2 linked regions of the Daphnia pulex genome follow. The protein of the gene in region 2 binds, or shares a complex with, the protein of the main gene of each other region. Links are inferred from orthologs where the notes say so. Each region holds a gene or a part of one and is shown on either strand. Other genes may lie near its edges.

Region 1 (11,247 bases), on a different chromosome or scaffold from region 2:
GTGTAGTGGCACGCCGCAAGGGGCGCCACCAAAAAAAAAAAACTTTATTTCCTCTCTCGCAAAGTGTAGTGGCACGCCGCAAGTGGCGCCACCAACAACAGAAAAAAACCAGATTCACTTAATTGAGTCATCCAGCCCGGATTTTTGCAGGAGCCTGGGTATTACCCTAGCTCCAAATTTAAATCGATTCTTTTTCAGATACATCCAAGGGATTTCAAACAAAGTGGAAACAAAAAACGGAAACTCATCCGTTCCACGAAACCCCAAGGAAAACAGGAAAAGGAAACGGGCAAATCAGTCGATAAGTGATCGAAAAAAAAAAAAAAAAAAAAATTAAATTAATTCTCTATTTCATCTCCTTTTCCCCAGTCAACAGCTCTTGAAGAGCTACACAACCAGGAAGAATGGTTCAGTCAATGAAAAACACAAGGTCAGCCACCAAAGGCCACATAACAAGAGCAATAACCCGGATCAACGGATTTGCAAATCAAGTAATGGCCCAAGAAGATGTTAAAGAACTAGAAACCTTAGAAACAAGATTGAAAAGTCTCTTCGAAAGCTACCAAAGCGCAACAAAAGAAATCAAGGAGAAATTAATAGCGACCAAGGCCGCGCAGGAGGAGATTGATGGGGATCTGGACACCTTTCTCCAAGTTCAAGATGAAGTGTCTGGAGCAAGATCAATCATCAAGCAGAAGAAGCAAGAATGGTTGGACGACGTGAAAGAAAAGCAAGAGGCAAAGAAAGAAGAGGACAGAGACAAACGATTGTTAGCGCTCTTCCAACAACAGGCAACAAGCCAAGCAGCAAATCAAGCGGCAAATCAAGCAGCAAATCAAGCAGCAAATCCAGCAACAAGTCAAGCACAGATGGCGCAAATTATTGCCCAAATCATGGCGGCCATTCCGGCACCTCCCGCGCCAGTAATCAACGTGACGGCAGCACCAGCCCCAGCTTCAGCCGTACAGTCGATACGATTGCCGCAGCGACAAATTAAGCACTTCAAAGGAGACGTACTGGAATGGACCCAATTCTGGGAATCCTTTAACGCAGCTGTCCACTCTTCATCTCTTTCAAACGTCCAAAAATTCGATTACCTCAAGGAATATCTTAAAGGTGAGGCGTACCTGTTGGTTAACAATCTTGAATTAACAGATGCGAATTACCAAGTCGCAATCGACGAACTGAAAAGGATGTACGGGAAGACGGACGTTCTAATCGACGCGCACATTGAGAAACTGGATGCCTTGCAGCCCGTAAAGGACGGGAACGACGTTCCAGCTCTGAGGAGCTTCCAGCTGAATCTCCAATCGCACATTAGCGCGTTGGAAACGTTAGGAGTCCCCACAAGTTCCTTTGGCGGACTCCTCGGAGCAAGATTAATCAAATTAATTCCTACCAGGCTCCAACAAGAATGGGCAAAATCGCCAACAAACAAATCAACGGACATCGAGATGGTCATCAAATTCATTGGAGATCAAATCGACGCGGCCGAAAGGTTCAACCGAATCAAAGGTGTGGAAAAGGAGAAATCGTCTCCAGCTCCTAAACAGCCCAAACCGGCAAATCCACAGCCGGCAACAGCATCACAATTGGCAGTAGGAGCCAAAGCAAGTCCAGCTCCTCAGGTTAAATCCGCCTTAAAAAATAAAAACGTTAAATTTAACCCAAGTTGGATTGTGTGCGAAAGGCCCTGCATCTTCTGCAGCCAAATTCACTGGCCGACAAAATGTCCGAAAGGGCTGACGGAAAGGAAAAAGATAATCTTTGATTTGAAAAGGTGCGTCAACTGTTTTGGAGACAAACACGCGCTGAAGGATTGCACATCCGCCCGGAACTGCAACAAGTGCGGAGGGAGGCACCACACCGCTCTCTGCGACAAAGGAGACGTCAGAGTCACCAATCCCACAACAGCAGCAATAATCGTGGCCAGCGATCCAACTTTGACAACCACAGCCTGTGCAAGCAGCTTTGGACAATTGATGCTGAAAACGGCAACAGTCATCATCAGCGGCCAAAACGGTAACGAAACAAGAGCGATTTTATTTGCAGACGACGGAAGTCATCGTTCTTGGGTGCTGAAATCACTCTCATCGCAACTTAACATGAAGACAGTAGCGGTGGAAAACATCAGCACAAGAGTGTTTAAGAAAAAGGAACCCAACAAGCCCGAAATGACAAAAAACGTCGAAATGCAAGTAAGGGGCACCTGGCAAGGCGCCCCAAAAGTTACACTAATGGCTTTAGAATCGGATCACATTTCAGATACCGGCCCGTACGTAGGATCCGAATTTGCAAACAGCCTCTGGATCCAAAACGAAAAATTGGCCGACGACAGATTCGAGATGGCACACACCGAAGATCAGCCAATTGGAATTTTAGTCGGAATGGACCAGATGTTCCAGATCATGTCGAATGAAGCCGCCATACAGAGTCCATGCGGATTGCGCGCGTTTCAAACGAAACTCGGAAGAATGATTGCTGGACCATCTCAAGAAGCAAAATCGAAGACAGGAACTCAAGTAATCCAAAATTTAATTTTAACATCAAGTTACCCGATTCCACAGATTACGTCAACATTCGCGACAAGTAGCCAAAAAAGAAAAATCCTTTCAACTCAAGCAAACAAAACTCCGATGGAAAAGGAGACTGGAACGGCCAGTCCCCAAACTACGCCAATAGGAGCGTCATTCTCAGATGCCCCAATCGGATCCAGCGGAGAAGAAGATAGTAAATGGTTTGAGAAGGAAGAACAAGTTGCTGCTAATTTCGACCTTTCTCTTTTCTGGAAAATAGAAAATTTTGCGAACCTTGAAGGCGCTGATGCAGTGGAATCGGATGATCGCTTCGATTTCTTTGACGAAAAAATAACGAGATGGCCAGATGGAAGATACTGTACACCGATCCCTTGGACAACTGACAAGTGGAGACTTCAGAAAAATCTCCCGTTGGCCACCGGAAGAGTGGAAAGCACAATAACAAGATTGAGAAAAAATCCAGGAGACTTGGTGAATTACCACGCAGAAATCCAAAAGCTCATCGACAGCAAATTCGTCGAGGAGGCGAACATGGACTACGAAGAACTTCACACCTATCTCCCACATCATCCGATCTTCAGAGGCGACAAATCAACGACGAAAATCAGACCCGTCTTTGACGGAGCAGCAAAAACGAAATTTGGACCAAGTCTGAACGACGTGTTGGAGACCGGACCAAATCTCAATCCCGATCTCCTATCAGTGCTATTACGCTTCAGAAAGTACGAGATTGCCTGGATCGCCGACATAGAAAAAGCCTTTCTAAACATCGCCCTGCAGCCGGAAGATGCTGAAGCAATCAGGTTTTTATGGCCCAGGGATCCAGCAGTGGCTGGATCGCCTCTTATTGCCTACAAGTGGAAGAGAGTGCCCTTTGGCCTTAGTTCTAGCCCCTTTCTCCTACGTGTTACAATTAACAAACATTTCAAATCACTAAAGTCTCGTTTTCCAGAAACTATTCAACAGCTGGAAGAAAGTTTGTACGTTGACGATTACCTCGGCGGAGCAAACAATTTATCAATCGCCAAGAAAAGAGTCGATGAGACGGACGAGATCTTTAGTGACGCCCAACTCAACATGAGAAGCTGGGCAACCAACAACGAAGACCTCAAACAACACCTGAAGGAGAAAGGACTGTCGAATCAAGTCGTAGGCCTACTCTCCCCAGCCTTGGACGGCCAACAGAAGGTGTTAGGAATCCGGTGGGACACCGGATCCGATTCGTTCAAATTCAACCCAGCATCCATCATCCAAGCAGTAGAAGAAGTGGGATCGGAAATCACCAAAAGAAAGATACTCAGTATCTCGGCAAGGATTTTTGATCCAATTGGATTTTTATCTCCCACTGTACTTTTGTTAAAGATTATTTACCAGAAGCTCTGGGAAAAGGAGATAGGTTGGGACCAAGCAGCGCCAGCCGATATCCAAAAATCTTGGAAGATAGTGATGACTGGTCTCGCCGATTTCACCGAACTACAAATTCCACGATGGATCGGACTATCCGAAAAAGTCACTTCTCACGAAATACACGTCTTCGGAGACGCTTCTGAAGCAGCGTATGGAGCCGTAGCCTACGCCCGACTCCAAAAAGGACAAGAAGATCCACTCATCATCCTACTGGCCAGCAAAACGAGAGTTGCACCCCTACCTAAGAAAAAAGTAACTTTACCGCGTTTAGAACTGCTGAGCTCACTTTTAGCCGTACGTTTAGGTGAAGTCGTAAAAAATGCAATGCAAGTCCAGTATTGGAGAACTATCTACTGGTCAGACTCCTTGGTTGCACTAGGATGGATTAGAGGAGAGCCGAACAAATGGAAACCATTCGTCCGAAACCAAGTGGAGACGATACGAAAATTTTCACAACCCGAGTGGTGGAGACACTGTCCAGGTCTCCAAAATCCGGCCGATCTTGCCTCGCGGGGAGCGCCAGCGCCAACGCTGGTAACCTCAACTCTTTGGTGGAACGGCCCGATTTGGCTCAAAGGAGAAGAAACGGAATGGCCAGATTCTCCCAACGACCAAATTCCACAAACAATCCAGTCCGAAATGGAATCGGAAGCTAGGAGTACGACGGTCAGCACAACAGCAGCCATCGCAATTCCAACAGCCTCCGTCGACTGGAATCTCGACAAAATTTCCACCTGGAATCGACTGTTAAGACGTACAGCCTGGGTCTCACGATTCCTCAGCAGGAGTCAAAAGAAGCTCAGACCTCCCGGTCCAGAACGAATGGAGTCGATAAAGGCAATTGGACCAGATGGAAAAGGAAGTGGAAAAGTTATCCGGATTACAAGATTATCCAGAGAGGAGCTGGATGAAGCGGAACTAACGATCTACAGACAGCTCCAACGAGAGCGGTATCCTAAGGCGTTTGAATCGCTACAGTTAGACAACACAATCCAGCCCAAGGAGAAAATCGCTGCACTTTTTCCAATCTGGGACGCCAGAGACCGTCTCGTTCGAATCCATGGGAGAGTATCACTTGCCCTAAGAGATAGAAACATCGATCCCCCAATTTTGCTTCCTGCATCACATATAGTAATCACTTTCTTAATTACAGACAAACACGAGTCACTACTACATGCAGGAGCAAAAGTAACACTATCCGAGTTAAAAGAAAAATTCTGGATAGTTAAAGGACGACAGCAAGAACTAGCAGCCCCTCTTCCTTTAAACCGACTCAAACATGCGCAATCTTTTCACGTTACAGGAGTCGATTTCGCTGGACCACTGCTGTACAAACCAGCACAGCGAAGGAAGAAAAGGAAAGCTCCACCAAGCGTCCAGGATCCGACGCCAGCAGACGATCCAACTGAAGAGCGAATCGAGGAGCCACCCGCTGAAGGAGACGCTCCAATCGAAGCTCTAATCGTAGGCGAAGAGGATTCAGTCGAAGAAGATGTCGAAATCCAAGACATCTTAATAACAACAACTAAAGCTAAGAAAACGAACCATCTTAAAAGTTATGTTTGTCTTTTTACGTGTGCAGTCACTCGAGCGGTTCACTTGGAACTACTACCCGATATGACGGCGCGTTCCTTCTTACTAGCCTTTCGAAAATTCGCAGCTAGACGAGGACCCGTCTCAGTGATGTATTCGGACAACGCGCAAACGTTCCGATGTGTCGACCGATTCCTGAGAACTATTCACGCCGATCCCATCATTCAAGACTTTCTCGCGTCCAGAAAAACCCTTTGGATATTTTCCGCCAGCCTAGCGCCATGGTGGGGAGGATTCTGGGAACGGATGGTGAGGAGCGTCAAGGATCTGCTGCGACGCTCCAACGGTCGAGCCTGCCTTGACTACATGGAACTGGAAGCGAGTTTAGCAGAAATCGAGAGCGTAATCAACGCCCGCCCACTCAGCTATATTGGGGAAGGAGCTGACGATCCACTTCCGATAACTCCTAACCAATTTCTAAACAACAGACGTTCTACTCGTGCCGATCCGGAGCCAGCCGTTAACTTGCTGGATCCTACATCGACCAGCATCGTACTACAAGAGATGGACAAGAACAGGAGGGAATATGTCGCTGACATCTGTGCTAGATTCGTCGACGATTATCTACTCCAACTAGACAACTTCCACTCCAAAGGAAAATCCGGAAGGAAGATCCGCCTAGGAGAAGTCGTTGTTATCCACGACGAACACTCCAAACGACTCATGTGGTCTACCGGAGTAGTGAAGGAACTGATTCCAAGCCGCGACGGACTCATCCGTTCTGTCATGCTCAAGATTCCAAATGGTAATTTAATTAATAGAGCCATTCAATGTCTTCACCCTATAGAGCTGCGAGAAGATCTCGCCGAAGACGTCGAAATTGGAAATCCGGAACCGATCCAGGAGCCGGAAGAGGATCCAAATCCAACTCTGCCAGAACCAGAAATCGATCTCGCTATCGGAGACGCTATGCCAGCTCCCGAAGAACCGGAAGACGTCGTCGAAGATGTCGAGCCGGATGCTACGGGCTCTGGTGGGGAGTGTGTTAGGAATATTCCATTCCAACAGACGACGACGAGATCAGGGCGCCGCACAACAACACCGGCGCACCTACGCGACTATTGCCTTGGGGGCCCCCGATAGGTGGCCCCAAATTCAGTCGTTGGTCCCCAAATTCAGTCGTTGTTTCCCTACCCCCCTATTGTTTATTCCCCCCCAATTTACTGTACAATATTCAGTGTGTTAAAATAGACGAGAGGTAAAAGACACGGTTTTGTTCGTGTCTAATTTATTCAACTTGGAAACTGTAAGTAAACGGCCCGACACGCCGAACATCCCTATTACATTTTCTACAACTTATTCGAGAGTTACTTTGAACTTGTAAATCCATTTCGCGCATTTCAGTAAATCGATCCCTCAGTTCTTGGGGCAAATGCTCTATCACTACAATGGGGAGATGGTAATTTAAAAATTTTAATCAGGGAACTTTATCATCACTTGAAACACTCATCATACTTTCCAAATAATCTTCTAAGTACAACATTTTGGTACAAATTGATTGAAATCGACAATAAAATTTATTTAAGTTTTGAGAAATTTTCTTTTTCTTATACGCTTTTGACGGATGGCTTGGATCACTGCTTCTTTTCTGCAGTTGATCTACAGGAATCTAATGTGATGACGCGAGCGAGTGAATGTCTGCAGATTCCCTCTAGCGAGCAATTTGGTCACTAGGAGTTGTGCTCACTTGGTCTAGTGTTAGCCTACTGCCGCCTACTGCCAGTCCTAGTTATACTGTAGGCAGCGTACGTACGCCGCAAGGTACCCGAAGGGAATGTTAAGGGTATTCTAGTTGGTATAGTAGTATTGGTATAGTTTTACAAAGACAGAGCTATAGAATAGTTATAGAATAATAAAAATATTCTGTTATAAAGGTAGGCCTATTATTAAGATGGATTAATAACATTTAAAAAAAATTTATGCCCTTAGTTTCCGGAAGATTGTAATAAGCATAAATCGAGAAAGAGATTAAAAGAATATTTCCGCGTGACTTTGGTGCGGCGGAGGCTTCGCCCCGCCACCCCACGTCACACCGGATCTTGTTAAAATTAAATTTAAGTAACTACCTATCAGCACTTCTGTTACTGGAGATTGATAGCGTTCGGTGATAACATACAGTGACTTCTATTCTATCATACAATAGTAGTCGATTGTCACGTTACGTTTATATCCCTGTCACATGTCTCTGTATTATCGTCTGCTGTAACAGCTATTGAAATTCTGTCAAAAAGTAACCAGAACTCCGTTTGATCAAATGCCTGAATTGATTGCAGCCAAATTTTCAGAATAGATGTAAAAAATTGTAAGCTACCGATTACTGCCATTGAAATGCAATAAAATTGTTGATTACAATCAATAATTGCCAAAAACTAGTGCATCCATCTATGTAGTGTTACGAGAACTGAGGGTGCCCATGTAAACCATACTGCAAACGAAACTTTGACCAGTAACCCTTCGGGTAATTTGTAAATATTGAAATATTTGAAATAAATAACATGAAAACTAATTAAAAGTGACATGTGTGCTTTGACTTTGTCTTGTCTTTGACTCAACTCATGTGTCTATGTGAAAGAGCCGTCTGAAAAGCGATCTAAATTGGGCTCCGAAAGTCCGAAAAAACCTTCTTAAAAAATCCGTGTCTTCGGAGTTCGGACGTCACCTTCTTTTTACGAAAAAATTTCGTTCCATCTTTAACAACACTCAGTAGATTTGAGTCCAATTTTGTATTTAGAACCTTTTAGAGATTGAATTTAACCATTCAGGCTTACAGAGAAATTTTCGCACGTAGCAGTGAATCGAATTGGTAGCCTGCCGCTGGTGTGATTTCCATTAGTGAGGGAAATATCTAGTGAGGGAAATGTTTATATTAAAATCAAAGATTAAGTTAAGTTAAATTATCTTCATTATACCTCATACCAGATTCGTTTATCGAAATATCTGTACTTGTCCTCCATTTCGACAGTTGCTGAGCCGAAAAGAAGAAGACGATCCATCTTCATAACGAAATACAACTTCGGCATTCTTCTGAAATTTGGGGCTTCCTGATCCGTTGAATTCGAACCAACCATCGTTATTCCGGCGACCTGTCACTCCAGCCGCAACAGCTGACGAACTGATCCTACCTCCGGTGTTAACGACTCCAAGGATTGCGTAGTAATTATTAGTAGTTTCGGAATTGGGACGGTAGTAGCAGATGGCATCATTTCCGTTTAAGGGGTTTCGGTTGGTCAACGAAACACTACAATCGACGATACCGGGTGACTTGTTCGAAGTGGCTCGTCGCCAGGTTTTGCCGATCATGTCCACCCCGCAGGAATCGCTGTTCAGGTTGCAAGTGCTGGCCACAACGGCATCAATCGGTCCGTTTCCGCAGTCGATCCGCAAGACTTGGCCGCACAATCCTTGACGCCACTTGAGGTTTCCGAGTGCTTGCGATTGTCCAAGAGCAATCGCGTCGGTTACCGCGTAATCACCTTGCGGCATTTGACATCCGCCAGCATCAGATTGCTCCGCCCAGAAAGTGCCTTTGACATTACGATTGCCGGAATTTTCATTACTTCCTAAAAATGTTGAGATTTTAATAATATTTAATATTGTAAGACTTTGTGACCAAAAATATTCAAAATGCTTTAAGTGCACCTGTTAGGAATCCGCATATGCCTCCCCAACCGCTTGTCTGTTTACGGGAAGGGATGCTTGATGCCTTTTTCAAATAGCAGATTCCATTAAAGTGACTAAAGTGGTTACATCCATTTGTTTTAATACAAAGGCCGCCACATTGGTCGCCAGGAACTCTTTGATTTCCGATATCATTGCCGGGAAAGTCGCAATCAAATTGCCATTTAACTTTGCCCCCGTCACCGTCGTTCCACGCCTGTGCGTCCACTGGATCAAATATTATCGACAGCACAACAAACGGGACGAGAATGCATACGAGAACTTTCGAAATCATCGTTCTCCTGCATCAATTTAAAAACATGTTATTATGATGCATGTTATCGTTTTTTTATGCGAAATTATGAAATCTGGAGTGCTTACCTGAACAGCTCTGATGAGAGGCGTAGTAGTGTGTCAAATTTCGACTTCTAGCTGTGACTAAGTTCTTATTGCGAGAAAACAATCCTTTTATACAGTAGCGCTTCAGTGATCGGGCCACCTGGTGCAATGACCCTAGATGGGTGTTGGCTCTATAAACGAGCCACAGATCGCAGAGCTTCCACGGTGCGATTGATAGAAACATGTGTCAGACAGGTAGAATTTGACACAACAACGATACTGACACATCAGTTCAAACAGAGAACATATGTCATGAACAACTGTCCACTCAATCTGTTTTTAATGCTCATCTCTTCGTTTGCACAGATTTCGGCTCGACAATTTTGGCAATGGTTCTCCTAGCCCTTTCCTACGTTATAAAATATGAATATTCATTATAAAAACGAGACACTAATATACTGTGATGCATTACCTTCGACTTCTTCAATCCGCTTCATACAAACATTGATGTAGGCTATTGCTTCCTCGCAACTTGGCGAGCCCAAATGAAGAAACCGGAAGTCGGTTGAAGATCCTATATGTGGAATGTGGCTCATAAAGCATACTTTACTGACCGAATATGCCCATCGCAATATGATAGTAAATTTAACATTTTAAGTAAAATGAAGAATGAAAATTCCTCCCACCTTGACGTTTCGTGCGAGTTCATTACGATTCATGTCGTACTTGACACGATGACTATGACTGGTCACGAATGAAAGAGCGGAAGAAGATAGTATGGCGCGCCGAATCCATCACAAAAAAAAAATTTTAAAAATTAAAAAAAAAAAAAAAGGCCACCGCAATCTAGCGGTCAAATTTGGAACTACCCCAGTAGTGGTCTTTATCTATGGTCTCGTCTGGTAAGTTTTCGAAAGTGACAAGTTCTTGTTCTTGTTGTTCTTTCTTGGGAAGTGTCAAATCAGCAGATTTTACTGCTTAACTTAACTGTTACGCACTTTAATTATTCCAGCCATCGACAAGTTATTTTTATACTTATTTTAGAGGTATACACTAATATTGCAATAAAATGATAAAAAGAGGCGCACTCATCGTATTAGAAGGATGTGATCGGTCAGGAAAAACTACTCAATGTCAAAAGGTAAAACATTTGTATTAATAAACATCTTAAAAATCAAATAAACAAAGTGCATTTGTTGCATAAATACCACAAGGCAATCAGGTGGTTACAAGACAGCAACAAAGAAGCTCATCTAATGAGATTTCCAGGTAGCGAAATGTTTAATATTTTAATGTTGATATACTTCTTTAAATGATCTCAAAATCCTCTAAAATTTCAGATCGATCAACTATCATTGGTAAATCTCTACCACAATTTCAACCTAATTAACATTTAGATTGAAAGTATTCTTTTTACATCCTTACAGGGAGTCTTATCAATAAATACTTGGAATGCAGCACAGAATTAGATGATCATACAATCCATTTGCTCTTTTCAGCCAATCGATGGGAACTGTTGTACGTCTTTTTGAGTTTTCTTGTTTAAATTTTTCTATGCATTTTAGGTTATATATTTCTACACACAGGCCAGACATTAAAAAATTATTGCAGAAAGGCACAAATGTAATCGTGGATCGTTACTCATATTCAGGAATTGCCTTCTCTGCCGCAAAACCTGTATATATAACAAGGATTTTCAGCTAAAATTATTCTT
Region 2 (11,078 bases):
AAAAGAAATTCCGCACATGCACACGCACAGGCACACGAAAAATCCTTAAATTGAAAGCGAAATTCCTCCGGATTGTATTAAATGAAACATTATCTTGATTTTCCCCTAGTAGCGCAATTTCAACCTTGAATATTTTCACCACTCTGCATCACCGTTGGCCTTTTGAAAGACGTAATCGCGACCGTTAATGTTCATGATGCCGTCCTTGAGATGAAACTTCCACCTGTTTCGACTTCTCGTAATCTACAAATAGAAAAAAAAGTCATTTAAAACATTTCAATTCCAATTCGAATGCTAAAATTCAAATCCTTGCCTTGTCGTACTGGCACACGACGACGTTATCAGTTTCAAATAACACTGAGGGATCATCATCAGTCACATCGTCTTCAGAGTTGAGTGGCTCCTCGTCTGCGTTCTCTTCGTTGTCTGCGTCAATCTCCTCGTCGTCATGATCGTCCTCTTCTTCCACGTCGTCATCGTCATCATCTTCAACATCGTCGTCGTCGTCCGAAGAGTCTCCGGGTCCATCCAACTGTGTGACTCCTCCATTGTCAGTTCGCGATTGGCTCCGTGCAGCTGTCGACTACAAAGAAAAGTAATAATGCATTGTACACACATTATTATATACACTTTCGAGTGGATTCAATTTCAACCAATGGTACCTGCAACGCGTTATTAATGTGCTGCTGCAAGACAGTCGTGGCCATTTCAACTGGAAGAGAGAGAGCCGCCGTCACAGCCGGTGAACTCAGGATCGTTTGCAGCTGCGCTCCCGCTGCGCCACCTGTGACATTATTACAAATAGTAAAGAAATTAGATTGGAGCTAGTACGAACGAGATTCAATTGGGAAATAACCTTGAAGAGCATGAGCTGGAACGTGAACAGTGATGCTCTTGGCTGCTGTATGACCTGCTACTCCAGCCTGAGGAGGAACAGTGATTTGGACTGGCACCGTCCTTACTGTTGTCGTAGCAGGGGCTGCAGCTGCTGCTGTTGTTGCTGCACCTGTAGCTGCATTAGGGGTAGTCACTGGGGTTTGGGCTGCTGCTGCTGCTTTAGAGAAAATAAAAACAAACAAACAAAACAATTAATAATAATGCACTCAATGTAACAGTATACCCAACTACCTGGTTGCTTTGCCGTAGTGGCTGCCTGTTGAGGTGTAGAATTGTTCGCAGGAGCTGTAGAGCTAGCCTGCTGACCTGCTTTTGACGGCAAAGAAGACCCTTTTTTCATACATGATAAAGTCTCATAATCGATATTGGATACTTTGTTGCAGTTTGCTTTGGAGAGAAGTTTCAGCAGGATCGGTCACAGGGTCGATTGCTTTGCTGGACTGCAATTTGTTTTCCCAATTCTGCTTCAATTCGAGAAGTACAGCCTCATCGATTCCTTCGTCAAGAAACGCCTCTCGAACCCCGTTGATAACATCTTCAATAACGCCACGATACAGTTTCGACTACAAAAAAAGAAATATAAAAGTCCTTAATTAGACCAACGAGGAGTGAGATCGAGCTCGTGGAGTGGAATCGTCAATGCAACAACAGTTTCCAGGTACTATTCCCCATGAAATATTATCATAAAGTAAAAGGTAAATAAATACCACGAGTGCCTGATTGGCGGCCATTCTTTAACGAAATTGAATTTTATTTGATTTCAATTCCGGGAGGGCTTCGTTCAACAGGAAGCCGACATGAAAACTAAGACTGACGCGGCAATATATATCGAAATGCCCCCGATGGCAGCGCCACGAAGCGTGATTTTGGCTAAGCATAGCATCTAGCGGTCGAAAAAAACATTCTTTCTGCTAAAAGTAAAGCCGTTTGTTATCGTTTCGACACGTTTGAATCGAATGAACAAGAAACGTTTTTATTAGCGGCCTAAGTCTCAGTATTCGTTGATTTTCATCAACGAGATGGATGAAAAATCCGAGATTTTGGTTTTAAACGCCGAAGATGAAGATACCTTCCAAAAGTTGTATTCCGAAGGTCTCAAATATAGCAAGCAATGCTCGGAAGAAAGCATGCCAGTTCCAAAGTTCTATACCAAAGTAAGCATAACTTCCAATTGATTCCCTATAAATTTCTTATGTTTTTGTTACACAGCTTCCTAATCATGAAAACATGATTAGCCTTAAACTGAGAGAAGAAGCTAGAACAGCATTCCTTCAGAAGAAGAGCAAAGAACTCCTCGATAACAATGAACTGCAGGTTTGTTAATGTCATTGCCAGTGTTTGTGCTACTGGTAAATAAGATTTTCATCCTGTCTTTAGAATCTCTGGACTTTACTTGACAAAAATCACAGCCCTCCTGCTGGTTCTGAGCAGATGATCAATTATATTGATTTTCTCAAAGTAGGCAACATAGCTGGTCCAAAATATAAGTAAGACATGTAAATATTTGATTGGGAACACCAAGTTATTTTTTGAATTCCCCTATACAGAGCATTCTTTACACCAGATGTATTTGCAAGGCTATTGCAGAATGATATTCATGGCAGAATATCAACCATGGCAGTGTTCAATTACATCATGAGGAAAGTTTGGTTACAGCAAACTAGAATTGGTCTTTCATTATATGATGCCACAGGACAAGGTCTGCTTACTGAAATGGTGAACATCAGCAATATGTTTTTTGTTTTTGCAATATGTAATTTACTTATCTATTTTTGTTTTTCCCAGGATTTAGAGAACTACATAACTGAACTTATCCCAACATTGCCACAGTTAGAAGGGCTTGAAAAGTCATTCCATTCGTTTTACGTCTGTACCGCCGTACGCAAGTTCCTCTTTTTCCTAGATCCATTAAAGCTAGGCAAAGTCAGGATACAGGATATTCTCGCTTCTGGTTTTCTGGACGAACTTTTAGAGGTATTTAGTATATTCCTGATTCTTTTGTCATTCTTCTCGCTAAAAATATTATAATTCATCAGCTACGGGATGAAGAGCTGCCCAAAGATGCACAGGATTCAAACTGGTTTTCTGCGCCCTCCGCTCTGAGAGTCTACGGTCAATACTTAAATTTAGATACCAACAGAAACGGCATGCTTTGTCAGGAAGAGCTCAGACGGTAATTTACCATATTTCAATTTGCAGTACGTACATTTAAGATTTTTTTTAAATTTAATTTTCAGATTCGGAACTGGCACGTTGACGCGAGTTTTCATTCAACGAGTATTCGAGGAGTGCATGACCTATGAGAAAGAAATGGATTATAAAACGTACTTGGATTTCGTATTGGCCATGGACAATAAAAAGGAACCACAAGCACTTCAGTATTTTTTCCGTTTGTTGGACGTCAATCATCGAAACCATCTCAACACTTTTGACCTCCATTTTTACTTCAAAGTATTAATTTCCTCATTTGACCTTTTGACTTTCTTATCTTGAAAAAAAAAAAAATGCTTTGCAGGGGGTTCAAGAGTTGATGCAGCAGCACAAACAAGAAGTCGTTGCTTTTGACGACGTCAATGATGAGATTTTCGATATGGTGCGTCCTGCCGATCCGTCAAAAATCACTTTACATGATTTGATTAACTGGTAACACACAAAGTTCATTTAGAATTTTTTTAGAATAAGATTGTCATTGAACGTTTTCTGGCTCAGTGGATACGGTGAAACTGTGATCAATATCTTGATTGATTTGGATGGATTTTGGACATACGAGAACCGTGAAGCTGTTGTCGTAACAGACAAGAATAACCAAGAGAAACAGGACATTTGAATTTGGAATTCTTGTACATAGAAATTGTGAGTGTATTTTTTAAAAAAAAGCAAAGAAGTAGCAAGATCGCGGAATGGATTGTAGGTGCGATCTCATCACCATTTCCCTCTTTTGGACCAGTCTTTCGGTGTCCAGTGCAAGCATTTGGGATCGATGTGTAATTTCCATTTCTCTTTGTTTTTTATGCAATTTTTCATCGCTTCTTCGTTCAGAATGAGTACGTACTGCCCCTTGTAGTAATTGATGAGGTTCAAATGCTGTAAGGTGGACACCACGTCCTCTTTTTTAATGCTCGTCATTTCGCAAATTTCGCTATTTAAATTAAAACGAATTCGTTTGTCAACGTGAGCTCTAGAATGAAGTAATTTACATCACTTACTTGATGGTAATTTGAGGACGTTCACCTTCACTGGATGGTTTCATATTCATCAGAATATCACAGATTGTAAAAGCCCAGTAACTGCGATAAGACAGCAACCCTAAATCGGACAGAGGTTTTTCTGGCGAGCCCGTTTTGCCTTCGAACTTGGACAGCTCGTAACCTTTACGTAAACAAAAATGGTTTTAAAAAAATATTTCCCCTTGGGTTTACGATTCTGTACGCACTGAATTCAATAAGAAGTTTTCCATATCCTTTCCGTTGATAGGGTGGTAATGTTAAGATGCAGGCGACATTGTAGTCCTCCGAGCTTTCTTTCTCTTTGCTAAAGTAGCCGACGATATGAAAACCTCGTGCATCCACTTCAGTCATGACGTAAAAGAGGAACGGATCAGTGTCGTAATACAGTGTCTTGTGATCAAGGAACAGTTTCGCTAGCAGGCATAGGTTCTGAGCGTATGCTTTATTTTTACGGCCGTCGATTTCAAAAAAAGAAATTGTCTGTTTGCGGTAAACTTCATTGCCTGGCGGATGTCTAAGATTGCACTTCATCTGTAGAAAAAGTTTAAGGGTTGATCATCCAATTAAAAATATATCGTAAAATTTTAAATTACCAGATGACGTTCTAGACATTTTTCACTTTTCCGGTACTTGAGACAAAACTCGCATATGTAAATACAAGCTTGGTGAACCATTTCCTAATTTTTGAAAAAGAATAGTAAACATTTCGGATCTTTACGTTCGTTAGATGATGACATACCTGAGGGTAGGGTGCGAAATACCAAGGTTTTATTCTGTGTCTGCCGAGTTCAATCATTTGAATATTTTTCATTCGTGTTACAACGTCATCGTGATGTGTAACAAGACTGCCCGACTGACGTGGCCCTGGTGTAGTCGGTGCAGGGGTGGACGGTGGGGCCGGAGAGTTAGCATCTCCTACCTCACAAACTGAATCACCTATGCAGAAAATTTTAGTTTTAATAATCATTTATATATAATAAATAGATTGTAGAAAAAATGACTAATTACTTGTAGGAACAGCACAACTATCGCTAACTACGGTGGGTGGCAGAGTGGGGATTGCTGGTAATTCTTTTTCAATTTCTATAAAAATAAAATTTAAAAGAATTTATGAAAAATGTAAAGAATTAATGAAATAAAATAACTTTACTTATAAGTTTCTTGGCAGGTGGGATTGGAATAATGGATCCTGGACTGGGCTCTTCTTTTTCTCCAATTTTACGTTTTCTTCCATTTCTCTTTTGTATTGCTGCAGCCAGTAGAGCAGACCCATTGACAGTAAGGTCTGATGCACTGGATGCAGCTAGTGGGGAAGAAGGACGGGAAGAACCAGTTGTTCCTCCAACTTTTTTAGGAGTACTCATGCCTGTGCCTACTTGAGTTCCATCTTTTCTAGGAAACTGAATTTTTCTCGTATCTAAGAAATCTTCTGAGACCCAATCATCAAGTCGTTTGTTGACTAGAGTTGAATTAAAAATTTTGTAAGATGATGTATCGTTAAACATAGCATATACAAAACTTACAGTCGATGTAATGGACATAAAACATCCTGATGTTGCAGATATCTTTGACACTGAGTACTTCGGCTAGAGCTAAATGATAACAAAAGAAAAACCACAATTAAACTTTCAAATCTATAAAATGATAACAAAGCAACAAATGTTACGCCAGTCTTCGGTGTTTCTCATCCGTACAGGCAACCGACAGCCTTCAACAACAGATGCCTAGATAATAGAATAAACAAAATTAAACATGGTTTCTAATGAAATAATGTAAAAATTCATACAGTTGAATCTGAAAACAGATCTTTATCTACAATCTCTTCTTTCATTTTTGACAATGACTGTTCGGTCTTCATTAGAGAAAAAGCTTTCAAAACAACAGTGCGCGGCCATGAGCGACATTGCCGCTTTTGCCGGTTGGAAATGGTAGTCTTCTGCTAGCTCTCTCACAAACTGGACCGATCAGTCCCATTTCAAATTGTAAAATGAAATTTCGGTTATGAAAATTCTCGACAAAATTTAAACCATAAAAGTGCAAAAATGTCACAGTATGGATTTGTTGCTATTCATCTTGGAGCAGGCTGCCATAGTTCAAAATCTGAAGCTATTTACAAAAAACTTTGCAAAATAACGTGTGAAAAGGCATGGCTTTCTATTAGTGATTCATGGTTTCATAGTTTGACTTGATAAGTTTTTCCCAGGGAGCAGCTTTATTGCAAGAAGGAAAATCTGCACTAGATGTTACGTGTGAATTGGTTTGCATATTAGAAGATTCACCACTAACTAATGCAGGATATGGCTCCAATCTCACTGAGAGCGGTGAAGTTGAATGTGATGCAGGAATCATGTTGTCTTTGAAACATCAAAGAAACACACGATTTGGAGCAGTCTCATCACTTAAAAGTATTAAAAATCCTATAATGGTAGCCAAAGAAATCATTTTATACCAGAATGAACCAAGACTTCTTGGTAGAACACCTCCACTGTAATTCAAAATACCATTTGCATCACTTAAAATGAGTGGTTAAATTAACACAGCCTTTTTTTTAGTGTTCTAGTAGGAGAAGGAGCGTCTGATTTTGCTAAAAACCGAGGTTTGAATCTTGTTCACAATAGCACTCTTATATCTGACAAAGCCATGAGAAAGTATAAGAAATATAAAGAACGGCTGGAAGTATCCAGAAAAGCTTTATCAAGTGGGCTAAAGATCACAGTGCAGCCAAACCCAAGTCAAGTAATATATTTGGTTTCCTAAAGTAATGTTATCCAAATATCATGGTTATTTTTTAAATCTAGGATACAGTAGGAGTAATTTGCATAGATACGAATGGTGACATTGCAAGTGCATCGAGTTCGGGAGGAATTGCTATGAAGCTTCCCGGCCGAGTTGGACAGGTTTTCCTTTATTCCTTCTTGTCATTTTAGTAGTCATTTACAATGTGTATATTGCGATAGGTGCCAGTTTACGGCTGTGGTTGTTGGGCGCAGCATTCCAGCTCCGGTGGTGTTGCTGTGTCAACTTCTGGTTGTGGCGAGCAACTCATCCAAACAACCTTGGCCAAGAAGCTTGGTCAAACCATATTAGAGCGAGGAGATCCGGCTTTCCACTTGAAAGAGCTCATGTGTGACGAGTTCATCCATTCAGAAATGCTGTCTGATGACGTCTATGACCGGATGGGTGGTGTTCTAGTGGCGTATTATAGCGAAGATTCGATAGATTTCAACATGGCCTTCACAACTGATTCGATGGTCGTCGGTTTCATGAGCACTAACCATGAAAAGGCTATTGTTCGGGTGTCTCGAAACACGTCGCTTGCGACACCGACAAATGCAAATAACTCATCACATTCCAGTAGGTTGACTATGGAAGGCTTTATTGTGAAACTAATAAATTAAGGAGAACAACAAGCGTTACATCTTTTTCCCGTCGTTATCCTCCAAATTGTGAGTAATTTCTTTAGCAGTTTGCTTGACCATGTTCTCGGTGGCATTTTTCACGACTTCATCGAGCCGATAGAGATCTTTAATGGATATTTCTCCTGTTCCGCGCTCGAGGGGTTTAGGCTGTGAAGGATCAGGTTTCCACCCGATCATGTAAATAATCTGAAACGTTGCTGGAATAGACCCGTCTTCATTTCCATAGAGTTCTATTGATCAAGAGGGGTATTAGCAAAACTAAGAAAAAAGAAGAAAATGTCAAGAAACCTTTATAGATGGCTGACGCAGCGAACATCGTGTCCCGATGCAAATGCAGTTTGCGGATCCACGAAGCGTTATTTTCGCCCATTCCTTTAAGATCTTCCATTAGTTCGAACATTGAAGGGTAGCCTACGCTTATTTCGTCAGTGTCCTATCCTTTTACACCGTTGTTAGTCGAAATTAATAATATAACATCTTTGGGGGTGTAATATTTCTCACGATGGTTAGCATGGTGAATCCAGCGGAGTTAAGAAGTCCACCAATGTCTCGGATTGCAGCGAAGGGTGATATGTGTGCAGCGAAACCCTGCAGTGATACAAACAAATTAGTTCATTAAACGATTAAAAAGTAGTAAAATCATAACATACTCCTTCCCGTTCGGTCTCTCCTAGTTGCAGTGAACCCCTCAGTTCGTACAGGGTTTCGCCTCCAAAAAGAGCGCCAATAAATACACCGTCAGGACGTAAACATTTCATAATTTGAGAGAAAGTGCTCGGTAATTGATTTACCCAATGTAAACTTAAACTACTCATAACGAGATCAAAGCTCTCTTCTTCAAAGGGAAGGGTTTCTTCGTCCACAACCATTTTCCGACAATTTATGGTCGTATCTTCCGGTATCGAGGCTTTCTCTAAAACTAACGCTGAATGATCGCACATGACCAACTCCTCCACTGCATCCTAAAATTGAAAAACAAGATTAGTTAAACAACTCAAATATTATTAAAACCTCCTACTGACAACCTTTGTTAGATGTCTGCTCACATGTCCATACCCACAACCTAGATCCAGGCCTTTTTTGAATTTTCTGTTGATGTCATACACTCGATCTGATAATCTGTTGCCAACCTAAATTATTTAATCTCATAACATATGGCCACACAAATATTTTTTAACTTTAAATACTTCATCTTTGATGTAGTTAAATTGATGATAATCCTCATTCTTTGCAGTTCGGTCCCTTTGCAATTTCTTGGCCAAACGATCAAACACATTCATGTTGTGGCTGTTTTGACTCATCCTTCTGGTCCCATTATATAAGTAACCTATTTCATAAATCAAGACATCAGTTAAAGTAAGGTTCATTTACATGAGCCTACCATATGCTATGGTTGGAGTTAGCTCAAAGAGTATTAAGAAACAGTTTTAACTTTAGCCTTGTGCAAATACAACTAGCAGCTGGCGGAACTGATGCAATTACATGACGGTCTTATCGTTACTGTCAGACAACAAAACCGTCATCGTCTGAAAATTCACTTAAATTTTAAAATACATAAATTTATATAGTAACCTTGCAATTGAGTCGGACAGACGAGTAGTGATAAACGCTTTATGGACATATTTTGTTGTTGCTGAGCTAAATAGCTGTGAGTAGCAAACAAAAAACAAGAAGAGGATCGAATATAAAATATGCCCCCAGATCCCTCCTTTATCGCATAGCAGACTATGCATGTGTACAGATGCGCGTGAAACAGCCTGAGGCACTGAAGTAGAAATCCCAGCTGTTGGCTCTGTTGTCTGCTGTGTATCCCATGACAACATAGACCAGCTTCAAAATTTTCACAAAATTGTTCACCACCGTTCCGTGTATACGTGGCTAAAGTTTTGTCCGACTATTTACTCTGGTCGTTTGCAGTTAGTTATTGATTTCGTGAAATTTGGTAAGGAAATGAAACTTCCTTGGTGTTTACTTTACCAAGCTTCATTGCTTACAAAAGATCTAATTGTTTGCAATTTCCATTCCTTTGTTTCATTGTGTAGCTTGTCTACTTGTAACAAAATGCCTCATTCCGCCCATGATGTGCCTTTGGGTGTCGCAATAATTCGAAAATTTGGAAGTTGTTTTTGCCCAAACTTTAGAGGATCAAGACCGTTCATGTAAGTTTATTTTTGAAAACACCAAGCTGATTGACGTAATGACATTCTATTCTTTCCATAGATACCGAACATCTATATTGTTACTAACATTCTTCACCTACACAGCATATCACATGTCAAGAAAACCAATCAGTGTTGTAAAGAATGTTTTGAGTCAGAATTGCAGTGGTTTAATTCCTCCACCTGGAACACACATTGACGATGACAACAAAGACTCTTGGTGTGATTGGGCTCCATTTGGTGAGTTGTTAGTCATTTCATGTTTTCTCAAATTTAAAGTGACCTTGATACTCATGTTGTTTCCAAGATTTTCAATGTACATGCTTTGTACATGTGACATGTTCATGTTCCCTCCTCCAGTTTGACCCTCTTATCCCCCTTCCTATCCCCCTCACCCCAACAAAAATAGAGATGCCTAATGGGAGAATGTGGTGGTAAAAAAAACTTAAGTTTTATGAACTGTAAAATTCATGGTTTAAGGCGATTGAAGGCAACGGATATATTGACAAAGCTTTCGGCATTTTTCTTCCTTTATTTTTCTAGATGGAAAAAATTCACAGACCTTGCTAGGTACCCTGGATTCGGCCTTCCTTTTTGCCTACGCAGCCGGCATGTTTCTTAGGTGAGTTTGATCCCAATCCCAAGAGAGGGACTTATTTCCGCCCTCTTTTTTAAGGACCTATATAAAATCTATAAAAATGAAAAACGTTTTCCTTTTCTACTCCTCCTCCCTACACCCTATATTCCACTTTCAAAAACAATTTCTGTCTCCTCCATTATTTAAAAAAGAAAAAAAGGAGAGCGCATTCCTATGCGTCAGACTGGGGTTTATCTTCAAACCATATCGTCCGATAAATAACCCCCATCCCCCTATCATACTTCCTTCGTTAAAGTATGGATGCACCGGAAGACCCTAACCAATCAGCAACTTGTTATGTGTAGAAATGTCGGTAGCGTATATACCACAAAATCAACCCGATCCAAGCGTTGACTCATAACTACTTCCGCGAGTTTGTTATTTAGGGGGGTAATCTAAGACGTGTATACAAGACTCCCCCTTTTGCTAGTGGGTCATAATGGTGACTGCAAGGCGATGATTCATCGCTAAAATGAACTGAAATTAATTTTTTTCTTTTCTTTATTTTTTTTAACGACTATCGCAGTGGATTCATTGCTGAGCGAGTAAATTTGCGCTATTTCCTGGCGTTGGGCATGCTCACGTCAGGTTTTTTCACCTACCTATTCGGCGTATCTTACTCGCAAGGTATCCACTCGTTACCTTACTTCTTCATAGTCCAGGTATGTACACTTTTGAACAAATGATTAAATTGGTCAATATTACCATTGTCAATTAGAAAGTTCCTTACCCATTATTT

Evidence for each region. The genes of interacting proteins can lie anywhere in the genome.
Region 1: histone acetyltransferase Tip60-like (region 2) and inhibitor of growth protein 3-like share a complex: the UniProt entries of both Homo sapiens proteins name them as parts of the SWR1-like complex. The link is inferred for Daphnia pulex from reciprocal best matches to the Homo sapiens genes KAT5 and ING3.

The regions. Positions count from the first base shown.
Region 1 is NC_060019.1:7,717,241-7,728,487, forward strand, and holds the start of inhibitor of growth protein 3-like, read right to left. Parts: upstream 7,154-11,247; 5' UTR 7,021-7,153; coding exon 6,993-7,020; intron 6,921-6,992; coding exon 6,849-6,920; intron 1-6,848. Other genes in the region: uncharacterized protein LOC124190484, read right to left, coding at 8,463-9,097, 9,177-9,489; thymidylate kinase-like, read left to right, coding at 10,603-10,674, 10,748-10,802, 10,874-10,891, 10,961-11,051, 11,120-11,210. UniProt on the Homo sapiens protein: Component of the NuA4 histone acetyltransferase (HAT) complex which is involved in transcriptional activation of select genes principally by acetylation of nucleosomal histones H4 and H2A.
Region 2 is NC_060018.1:12,582,363-12,593,440, reverse strand, and holds histone acetyltransferase Tip60-like, read right to left. Parts: upstream 6,034-11,078; 5' UTR 5,983-6,033; coding exon 5,911-5,982; intron 5,849-5,910; coding exon 5,791-5,848; intron 5,717-5,790; coding exon 5,648-5,716; exon of another isoform or gene 5,584-5,647; coding exon 5,275-5,583; exon of another isoform or gene 5,208-5,274; coding exon 5,133-5,207; exon of another isoform or gene 5,061-5,132; coding exon 4,864-5,060; exon of another isoform or gene 4,802-4,863; coding exon 4,718-4,801; exon of another isoform or gene 4,656-4,717; coding exon 4,331-4,655; exon of another isoform or gene 4,267-4,330; coding exon 4,104-4,266; exon of another isoform or gene 4,037-4,103; coding exon 3,820-4,036; 3' UTR 3,733-3,819; downstream 1-3,732. Other genes in the region: transcription initiation factor IIA subunit 1-like, read right to left, coding at 136-243, 314-583, 663-784, 857-1,057, 1,129-1,227, 1,271-1,460, 1,605-1,628; serine/threonine-protein phosphatase 2A regulatory subunit B'' subunit gamma-like, read left to right, coding at 1,917-2,051, 2,107-2,211, 2,275-2,384, 2,445-2,613, 2,683-2,871, 2,934-3,070, 3,135-3,348, 3,413-3,540 and 1 more; threonine aspartase 1-like, read left to right, coding at 6,167-6,268, 6,328-6,611, 6,677-6,860, 6,923-7,021, 7,082-7,522; arginine-hydroxylase NDUFAF5, mitochondrial-like, read right to left, coding at 7,538-7,773, 7,832-7,976, 8,045-8,131, 8,194-8,505, 8,569-8,673, 8,731-8,870, 9,116-9,164; glucose-6-phosphate exchanger SLC37A2-like, read left to right, coding at 9,605-9,702, 9,764-9,942, 10,246-10,324, 10,866-11,001. UniProt on the Homo sapiens protein: Catalytic subunit of the NuA4 histone acetyltransferase complex, a multiprotein complex involved in transcriptional activation of select genes principally by acetylation of nucleosomal histones H2A and H4.